Linked DNA regions of Saccharomyces cerevisiae S288C. The protein of the gene in region 1 interacts with the protein of each later gene in a biochemical or structural test. Each region holds a gene or a part of one and is shown in the gene's direction. Other genes may lie near its edges.

Region 1 (4,009 bases):
AAAAAAAGAAAAACCTTCTTCTGAAAAAAAAAAAAAAAAATTCAAAAAAAGACACCTTTCTACCTTGGCAGTAAATTTCAAATTAATTATTTACCAAACTGTAGTTCCCGCTCACTAATCCTTTCTTATACTTATTCACATTACTGTCACTTTGCGGCTGTATTTGGCCGCGTTTCCCTTTCGGGTGCAGGTACAAGAGGTATCCGAAACAAGAAGGGTTAAGTTTTGAAGAAAATGCCAAGTATTTCAATTTCAATAATAAGAACGCAAAACTACAGGAGACTCTTACTAAGCATACTACTTCTCAAAAAAGGGCTTTATTTTATAGAACATAAAACATACTGTAGGATCGCACACTGGAAAATATGTTGAAACGATCATCTCTAATATATCTATCATGTGTCCTAATCATTACCATACCAATACTTTTGCATGTATACAATGGTCCAGGACTGTCCCATGAAGCCAATGAACATAGGGCTTCTCACAAGCAAAAAAGAACGTTAGCAAATCCGGATAAACCCAAAAGCGAAAACGATGAAGATCTATTTTGTGCGGTAACCAACCCAGTCACCGGATCATACATAGATCTATCACAGCTATCTTCAACTCCCAACAAATTAAGGGAGGGCCAAAAACAGATTTCTGGCAATAACAAGCATGAATCCTCCAAGACGAAGTGGTCAGTGAGAGGTTGGGGCTACGATACAAACTTCACGTTAGGCATCTGCTCTAGTCCTGTCGGAGAAGCTGAGTCGCAACAACTGTCCAATCTAACGGGCGCTTTTTACGTAGACCAGTTGAACGAAAATAATTTAGTATCGATTGGAGACTTCAGTACAAGGCCTGCGTTAGTCGGCGGCTCTACTGCCAAGAAATTAACTCTCAAATACGAAAACGGCTCTATGTGCCCGAACGGGAAGGACAAGAAGGCAACTTTATTGAATTTTGTCTGCGATAAAGAAATTCAATCAAAGGCCCAGATATCATACATTGGAAACCTACACAATTGCTCGTATTTCTTCGAAGTCCGCAGCATTCATGCGTGCCCCACCTCAAACAAAAAGAATGAAGTTAACGTTTTGGGTATCTTCATCGGTATCTTCGCTATATTCTTTTTAGTCGAATTTGCGGGGAGAAGATGGATCTATGCTAAACTAAATAGGCATTTGAAAAACGACGACGAGTTACACGACATATCGCCATCTTTAAATGAGCAACCACACTGGGACCTCATAGAGGACGGGTCTCGCTGGAGTAAATTTTTCAACGGGATAATTAAGACGACAAGAAGGTTCACGAAATCTTTAATGAGGTCTTTAGTCAGAGGCAGGAACAGCCGTCAAGGGGGCATAAGACTACGGTCATCCCCATCTGCCTCTTCGTCCAGCCTTGCCAACAGGGAGTTCTTCAGAGACATGGAGGCTCAAAACGAAATTATTGACAGCCTAGACATCAATAGTCATACAACAGAAAGCGACCACCCAACTTTGGCTGATAATAGCGTATAAACAATGCATACTTTGTACGTTCAAAATACAATGCAGTAGATATATTTATGCATATTACATATAATACATATCACATAGGAAGCAACAGGCGCGTTGGACTTTTAATTTTCGAGGACCGCGAATCCTTACATCACACCCAATCCCCCACAAGTGATCCCCCACACACCATAGCTTCAAAATGTTTCTACTCCTTTTTTACTCTTCCAGATTTTCTCGGACTCCGCGCATCGCCGTACCACTTCAAAACACCCAAGCACAGCATACTAAATTTCCCCTCTTTCTTCCTCTAGGGTGTCGTTAATTACCCGTACTAAAGGTTTGGAAAAGAAAAAAGAGACCGCCTCGTTTCTTTTTCTTCGTCGAAAAAGGCAATAAAAATTTTTATCACGTTTCTTTTTCTTGAAAATTTTTTTTTTTGATTTTTTTCTCTTTCGATGACCTCCCATTGATATTTAAGTTAATAAACGGTCTTCAATTTCTCAAGTTTCAGTTTCATTTTTCTTGTTCTATTACAACTTTTTTTACTTCTTGCTCATTAGAAAGAAAGCATAGCAATCTAATCTAAGTTTTAATTACAAAATGGGTAAAGAGAAGTCTCACATTAACGTTGTCGTTATCGGTCATGTCGATTCTGGTAAGTCTACCACTACCGGTCATTTGATTTACAAGTGTGGTGGTATTGACAAGAGAACCATCGAAAAGTTCGAAAAGGAAGCCGCTGAATTAGGTAAGGGTTCTTTCAAGTACGCTTGGGTTTTGGACAAGTTAAAGGCTGAAAGAGAAAGAGGTATCACTATCGATATTGCTTTGTGGAAGTTCGAAACTCCAAAGTACCAAGTTACCGTTATTGATGCTCCAGGTCACAGAGATTTCATCAAGAACATGATTACTGGTACTTCTCAAGCTGACTGTGCTATCTTGATTATTGCTGGTGGTGTCGGTGAATTCGAAGCCGGTATCTCTAAGGATGGTCAAACCAGAGAACACGCTTTGTTGGCTTTCACCTTGGGTGTTAGACAATTGATTGTTGCTGTCAACAAGATGGACTCCGTCAAATGGGACGAATCCAGATTCCAAGAAATTGTCAAGGAAACCTCCAACTTTATCAAGAAGGTTGGTTACAACCCAAAGACTGTTCCATTCGTCCCAATCTCTGGTTGGAACGGTGACAACATGATTGAAGCTACCACCAACGCTCCATGGTACAAGGGTTGGGAAAAGGAAACCAAGGCCGGTGTCGTCAAGGGTAAGACTTTGTTGGAAGCCATTGACGCCATTGAACAACCATCTAGACCAACTGACAAGCCATTGAGATTGCCATTGCAAGATGTTTACAAGATTGGTGGTATTGGTACTGTGCCAGTCGGTAGAGTTGAAACCGGTGTCATCAAGCCAGGTATGGTTGTTACTTTTGCCCCAGCTGGTGTTACCACTGAAGTCAAGTCCGTTGAAATGCATCACGAACAATTGGAACAAGGTGTTCCAGGTGACAACGTTGGTTTCAACGTCAAGAACGTTTCCGTTAAGGAAATCAGAAGAGGTAACGTCTGTGGTGACGCTAAGAACGATCCACCAAAGGGTTGCGCTTCTTTCAACGCTACCGTCATTGTTTTGAACCATCCAGGTCAAATCTCTGCTGGTTACTCTCCAGTTTTGGATTGTCACACTGCTCACATTGCTTGTAGATTCGACGAATTGTTGGAAAAGAACGACAGAAGATCTGGTAAGAAGTTGGAAGACCATCCAAAGTTCTTGAAGTCCGGTGACGCTGCTTTGGTCAAGTTCGTTCCATCTAAGCCAATGTGTGTTGAAGCTTTCAGTGAATACCCACCATTAGGTAGATTCGCTGTCAGAGACATGAGACAAACTGTCGCTGTCGGTGTTATCAAGTCTGTTGACAAGACTGAAAAGGCCGCTAAGGTTACCAAGGCTGCTCAAAAGGCTGCTAAGAAATAAGGAGATTGATAAGACTTTTCTAGTTGCATATCTTTTATATTTAAATCTTATCTATTAGTTAATTTTTTGTAATTTATCCTTATATATAGTCTGGTTATTCTAAAATATCATTTCAGTATCTAAAAATTCCCCTCTTTTTTCAGTTATATCTTAACAGGCGACAGTCCAAATGTTGATTTATCCCAGTCCGATTCATCAGGGTTGTGAAGCATTTTGTCAATGGTCGAAATCACATCAGTAATAGTGCCTCTTACTTGCCTCATAGAATTTCTTTCTCTTAACGTCACCGTTTGGTCTTTTATAGTTTCGAAATCTATGGTGATACCAAATGGTGTTCCCAATTCATCGTTACGGGCGTATTTTTTACCAATTGAAGTATTGGAATCGTCAATTTTAAAGTATATCTCTCTTTTACGTAAAGCCTGCGAGATCCTCTTAAGTATAGCGGGGAAGCCATCGTTATTCGATATTGTCGTAACAAATACTTTGATCGGCGCTATCTGTAATGGAAAAGAGAAGAAGCCTCTTGACTCACTATCCAC
Region 2 (3,239 bases), on another chromosome or scaffold:
CTTCACAAAATCAATTGGATACTATAAAGTTTTATCAAATGCTTCGTGAAAGAGGCAATTTTTCCGATGAACAATGTAAAATTATCATAGCTCTATTGTTGCAACTACTAAATGATCAGTTTTATTCCTGTTACAATGATTTGTTCTTAAGGGATATGGAGCTGAATAAACAATCACATTTGTTCAGCTCGCTAGAAACAGAATTGAAATTCGCAATTCAAAACTCTAGAGACACGCAACTAAATGAGCACCACTTGCAATTATTAAAACTCAAGAGAGAACTTAACTCAATCCATGATGAACTGAATGAAATCATAATAGATCTTTTGCAAAAGGACGCTAAATTAGAATTTAACAATCAAAAATTAGAAAACACCCTTTTGTATCGACAATTAAACCTGAAATTGAACGACTGTTCTAACAAGATTCAAACCAAGATACTGGGGGATATCAGGTCACATATCGAAAATTTAAGATGGCAGACAACCAGAAGCGGTCTTTTGGTAATATTAGTCCTTGTTTGTTCGATTATGATCGGTGTAAGCGCATCTAAGAAGGAACGCCCAGGTTTACAGGAACCTGAGGAACCTGAAATTTTAGCACCAAAGGAAGACATTGATACTACCTTCCCTCAAGATCAACATGATATAGATTAATTAGCATACATATTGTCTGTACATAAGTATATTGTGTGTGCGTTTTGTTTCACTGAGAAAGCGGACGTCATAAACGATGCTTCCTTTGTTTCGAGCCCAGCTGCCTAAATCTTTTTAAGGGCTCTCCATCTACCCAATACTTGAGAGATTCATTTACTTCCACTGAGTTAGCCTTATTGAATGCATCGATGTGGTTCGATTTCAGCAATTTTTTCATCCCTAAGCAACTGGGCAGGTATAGCCCTTTCACTTTCTCCCTCAATTCTTCTAAGACCTTTGCATTGAACGCTTCAGCGTTTGAAGATGGCATGTTAAAATTCTTGCTTATAAATCCGTTCTCGCACATTATATCGTACTTGAATGGTTTGTTGAACATGAGGCATTCATACGTCGTATTTGTGCCAAACTTCAATGGCAAAGAGACCGTTGTACCACCTTCGGTAATTAGTCCTAAGTTAGCAAAGGGGTATAGCAAATAAACCTTGTCATTTATACTGTACACAATGTCACATAACGCTACCAGTGCCGCGCTCAACCCTATTGCTGGTCCATTCAAACAGCAAATTAAAACTTTGGAATGCTTGATGAAGGCATCAGTGACATAAACATTTCTAGCGACAAAATTTGACACCCACTTGCTTGTTTCCGAAGGATATTTATTGGTATCATCCCCTTGGGCTTTTGCAATACCCTTGAAATCAGCACCACTGGAAAAAAATCTACCACTGCTTTGTATAATTGTAAAATATACATCACGATTTCTGTCCGCTAGTTCTAGTAACTCTCCTAAATAAATATAGTCTTCACCTTCTAGTGCATTCAAATTGTCAGGGTTCATTAAGTGAATAATGAAGAATGGTCCTTCAATACGATAACTGATTTTCTCATTTTGCCTAATTTCTTGCGACATATTGTTCTTCCTTCCTTTACTGTGCGAGCAATTTGTGCCATACACTCCAATTATCTATCCATATGTTCATCTTTCAGTTCTTATATATAGTGCTTCACTTTTATTAACCGCTCTTGGGGTAAAAGAGAAACGGTCACTGCTACAGCCTTTCGGAATAATATTTCTTATGCCCGTCGCCAATTTCAGATTCTTTCCTTCGTGCCGCATTTATTTTATTTTTCAAAATGACGAGAAGTTAAAATCTAAAATCAGGAAAAAGAACAGTTGCAGATGACGAAATACTTCGAGCATTATCGCAATAAATAAGGCGTGTAAACGTATGTCAGATATAGAATCATTGGGAGAGGCAGCAGGTTTATTTGAGGAGCCAGAGGATTTTCTTCCTCCTCCACCAAAACCTCATTTTGCAGAATATCAAAGGTCACACATCACAAAAGAGTCCAAATCAGATGTTAAAGACATCAAACTCCGTCTCGTTGGAACGTCACCACTTTGGGGTCATCTCTTGTGGAATGCAGGAATATACACCGCAAATCACTTGGATTCTCATCCAGAATTAATAAAGGGGAAGACTGTTTTAGAATTGGGTGCTGCTGCTGCTTTACCTTCCGTTATTTGTGCTTTGAATGGGGCTCAAATGGTTGTTTCAACTGATTATCCAGATCCTGATTTAATGCAGAACATCGATTATAATATAAAGTCTAACGTTCCTGAAGATTTTAATAATGTCAGTACGGAGGGTTATATTTGGGGAAACGATTATTCTCCATTGTTGGCACATATCGAAAAAATAGGTAACAATAATGGAAAGTTTGACTTAATCATTTTAAGTGATTTAGTCTTCAATCATACGGAACATCACAAATTACTTCAAACAACAAAGGATTTATTAGCTGAGAAAGGTCAGGCGTTGGTAGTATTTTCACCGCATAGACCAAAATTGTTGGAGAAGGATTTAGAATTCTTCGAATTGGCTAAGAACGAGTTCCATTTGGTTCCTCAGCTAATTGAAATGGTTAATTGGAAACCGATGTTTGACGAAGACGAGGAAACAATCGAAGTCAGATCTCGTGTTTATGCGTACTATTTAACACATGAAAAGTAGTAAGTGGGCGGAATTGGCATTCTCAACAATCATTTTTATGTTTGTAAACCAGTGTCCTTTGATATGTAACAATTAAATAAAATAAGTCATGATGGGGCACGAATTCGCAAAATGGTAGAAACACAGTAAATCGAAGAAAATTAAATAATTCGTTATAGATATAAAGTAGTCGATTATAAAAACGTAAAAACATGAAGGCAGGGTACCTTGACGAAATAAAAGAGAGGCGGTGAGATGAGGTGAAAAATAAAGAATATTGCAAAAAAAAATATTCGGACTCTATGAATCAATCTCTAATAACTTTAAAAGTAATTGCTTTCCAAATAAGAGAAATTACATTGGGTATAGACTGAGTCGCCGGAGTCATAAGCATAACATGTGGTTCCAGAAGCACATTCCATGTAAACCCAAGCGCTATGATCACAAACGGCGAACTTCCCATCAGCAGAGCATGCAATTTCACCTTCAGTACAGGTAGATTTACCGTTCAATTTACCAGCCGCATATTGAGCATTCAATTCTTTAGCCAATGTACGAGCTGTACTGTCTGAGCTTGTACTACCTGAGC
Region 3 (3,247 bases), on another chromosome or scaffold:
TCATGGCAATTAAGAAACATGAAGACATTTGAGGATGTGGCGTACCAGCGTTGAATAAAGTTGGGGAAGCGTGAGTGAAGTATCTTAACGACATCAAATTATAAGTCTTCAGCACAGATTCGATATCGCTACCATGGATACCTAGCGCCACACGCATTACCAAATGCTGAGGACGTTCTGCCACTTCACCGTTCAGTCTTAGCAAGTACGAACGCTCCAGTGTCTTGAATCCGAAATACGTATACTGGAAATCCCTATCGTACACGATGGCCGAGTTCAAAGTATCTTTGTTTTCCATGACAATGTTGTAAATTTCGTCCGAAATCATAGGAGCATGCTTTCCAGTAGCTGGGTTAATCCAGTCGTGTAAATCCTCAATAACTTTGGAGAATTGCTTTGTGGTTTGCTTATGTAAGTTAGAGATGGCGATTCTAGCGGCTAGAGTGGCATAATCAGGGTGCACAGTGGTCATGTATGCACATGTTTCAGCTGCAAGATTGTCCAGCTCAACGGTAGTAACACCGGAGTACACACCAGAAATAATACGTTGGGTTACCTTAACAGCATCAATACGGTTTGGGTCTAAACCGTATGACAAACGGGTGATACGGGAGGTAATTTTATCGAATTGAACGGGCTCTTTGCGGCCGTCTCTTTTAATAACGTACATTTGTGTGGGAGTATTTGATTTATTGCTGCTGCTATTCTTGCTTGTCATATTTATTTCAACTTGGATATGAGATGAGAGAAAGGCAAGGAAGAAGGCAAAAGAAGGCAAAATAGCAGTGCGTTTATATACGTTTTGCAGCAGAACACGAAACAATATAAAGAACGCTGACACGAAAAACGAAACGCGTCAGCATCTCACAATACAGTATTACGATTTAACAATAGACTATTGTTTTTTTCCCATCTTGTCGTTTGGTCCTCGCCATGGCAACCGGGTTTTTGCCCCTTTGAGCAGCGCCTAGGTGTCGTTGCTGCGACAACCACGAAAAAAAAAAAAAAAAAAAAACAAAAGAACAACGGCACGCAATGTTGCTGTGACAACCGTAGGCAGATAACTTGGCTTTTTTTACTACTTTAGGAAAATTAGCAGCCAAGAACGAGGGCTTGCTCTGCTACCTAGTTCAAACTGAAACAAGCCTTCACTTTCTTTTCTTTTCTTTTTTTTTTTATCTAACAACTGAAGATTAAATGATAAATGTTTACGCGTGCGTGCGATTCATTCTTATGTATGTACGTATGTGCTGATTTTTTATGTGCTTGTTACCTTCTCTTGTTTCTTAAGAAGAAACTAGCCACGGCCACAGCGCCGGCTAGTACGCCTCCAGCGACGACAACACCCTTGAGTGTTTCCTTCTGGATCTTATCCTCTACCATACTCTTCAAAGCGCCCACCTGCTTGTTATTACGCTCATGCTCAAATAAAGTGTCTACATATCTCTTCGCCATAGAGTATTCACCGAGTTTGTAGCAACCTATGGTCAGATAATATAGGCATTCTCGTCTACGGGACTCGGCCTCTTTGTAAATGTCTGTGAGGATTTTCACACCAAGCCTTTCGTCATTCACGTCAGTGGATTTGATCAGCCCCCATGCGTAGTTAAACCTTGACTGTATGGTAGCGGTGGGCCCCCCCTCGGAGACGACTTGCTGGCGCAGAATCTCCAGCTGCTGCGGATAGAGTGGTTCGTATGCGTCCTTAAGAGTTGGCCAAAAATCTACTTTGGTCATACTTATGTTGTATGGCTGTGCTCTGATCTGTGCTTCTATGTGCCGTTTTTACGCAAGGTATATGATAACTTCTGTGCAGAATAGTGGCAATGGCAGCTTTGCTTTGAAAGGGGTCCAGCCTAGCCCGCTTGCGGTGTTCCGGCATAAATGCGCAAAAAGATTGGTTCATGAAAAGAAGTGAAAAAAAATCGATGAGCTCAGCTCTTAAGAACGGTATTATGGAACGAACTCAACCCGAAAAGGTAGTACAGATGCAGGGCACGGCAGATTTGAGCACTTCGAAACTTGGTACGAAAAAATACTGGGATGAACTGTATGCCCTGGAGCTGGAGAATTTCAGGCGGAATCCGCAGGATACCGGGGACTGTTGGTTTAGCGATAGCGATGCTGAACAAAAGATGATTGATTTTCTGGTAGATAACATTGGTGCGTACAGAATTTCTGAGAATGCTTCTGTTGTAGACCTCGGTACAGGTAATGGACACATGTTATTTGAACTGCATCAAACGGAATTCCAAGGGAAACTGGTCGGGATAGACTATTCTGAGGAAAGCGTCAAACTCGCTAGTAATATAGCCGAGGCCACCGGTGTTGACAATTTCATCAGTTTCCAGCAAGCAGACATCTTTAGTGGTGACTGGAAGCCGGGAAAGTATGACATTGTGTTGGATAAAGGGACCCTAGATGCCATTTCATTGAGTGGCATGAAGATCAACGGTAAACTTGATGTAGTCGATGTATACGCCGGAGTAGTGGAAAGGATTTTGAAAAAAGACGGTATTTTCTTGATCACTTCTTGTAATTTCACACAAGATGAACTAGTAAAGATCATAGAGACTGATAATTTGAAAATGTGGAAAACAATAAAATACCCTGTTTTCCAATTTGGCGGGGTCCAGGGTGCGACCATATGTAGTGTAGCATTTGTTAAACAAAACTGATTTGTTTTTATCTTTGATTTATTTTTAACGTTATTTCTCTTTACTTATTTAGGAACGGATTTAACTATAATGTTATACAATTCATCCGTGGTTTCCTTCTTACCAGTCTTTATGGCGTACTGTGCAGGATCACCGTTATCATCTACTGCTAGTAATCTTATGAATTTTTCGCTTTGCAAAGAACCTGTAAATCCTTTTTGCACAGTGAACCCCTTGACCAGTTGGATGTTTAAAATGACTTTTAAGATACCACGAGACCTCATAACAATACGCGTCTTCTCGACGTCGTCCTTACTTTTATTGATTTTGATGATACCAACACCTCTTTCCTTCCAGCCTTCTTTTATGTTGGAAAGTTGGTACAGCTTCGCATTGACTTGATATATGCACTCCTCAGACTCTTCACCAGACTTGACTTCCTGTTTCTGCAATTTGAGGGGTTTTGGTTTGTCTTTTGTATCTTCTGAGGCATTCGCTAGTTGTTCAGATCCACTATGGACTTTATCTTTGTCAACATCAGTAGCTTTCTTTTCACTTTCAGAGTTATTTTCTGTTTTGTTTTTCAGTAT

Evidence for each region.
Region 2: of the proteins of TEF1 (region 1) and NNT1, one has a biochemical effect on the other in vitro, tested with the Saccharomyces cerevisiae proteins (one study listed by BioGRID).
Region 3: of the proteins of TEF1 (region 1) and EFM4, one has a biochemical effect on the other in vitro, tested with the Saccharomyces cerevisiae proteins (one study listed by BioGRID).

What each region holds. Positions count from the first base shown.
Region 1 is NC_001148.4:698,504-702,512, forward strand, and holds TEF1 (translation elongation factor EF-1 alpha), read left to right. Parts: upstream 1-2,090; coding exon 2,091-3,467; downstream 3,468-4,009. Other genes in the region: MRL1 (Mrl1p), read left to right, coding at 366-1,511; GRS2 (putative glycine--tRNA ligase), read right to left, coding at 3,611-4,009. UniProt on the Saccharomyces cerevisiae protein: GTP-binding component of the eukaryotic elongation factor 1 complex (eEF1). In its active GTP-bound form, binds to and delivers aminoacyl-tRNA to the A-site of ribosomes during protein biosynthesis.
Region 2 is NC_001144.5:705,475-708,713, forward strand, and holds NNT1 (S-adenosylmethionine-dependent methyltransferase), read left to right. Parts: upstream 1-1,885; coding exon 1,886-2,671; downstream 2,672-3,239. Other genes in the region: PUT7 (Put7p), read left to right, coding at 1-656; ECI1 (dodecenoyl-CoA isomerase), read right to left, coding at 724-1,566; YLR285C-A (uncharacterized protein), read right to left, coding at 2,694-2,864; CTS1 (chitinase), read right to left, coding at 2,974-3,239.
Region 3 is NC_001141.2:240,039-243,285, forward strand, and holds EFM4 (Efm4p), read left to right. Parts: upstream 1-1,988; coding exon 1,989-2,678; downstream 2,679-3,247. Other genes in the region: ribonucleotide-diphosphate reductase subunit RNR3, read right to left, coding at 1-670; FIS1 (Fis1p), read right to left, coding at 1,270-1,737; YRB2 (Yrb2p), read right to left, coding at 2,723-3,247. UniProt on the Saccharomyces cerevisiae protein: S-adenosyl-L-methionine-dependent protein-lysine N-methyltransferase that mono- and dimethylates elongation factor 1-alpha (TEF1 and TEF2) at 'Lys-316'. May play a role in intracellular transport.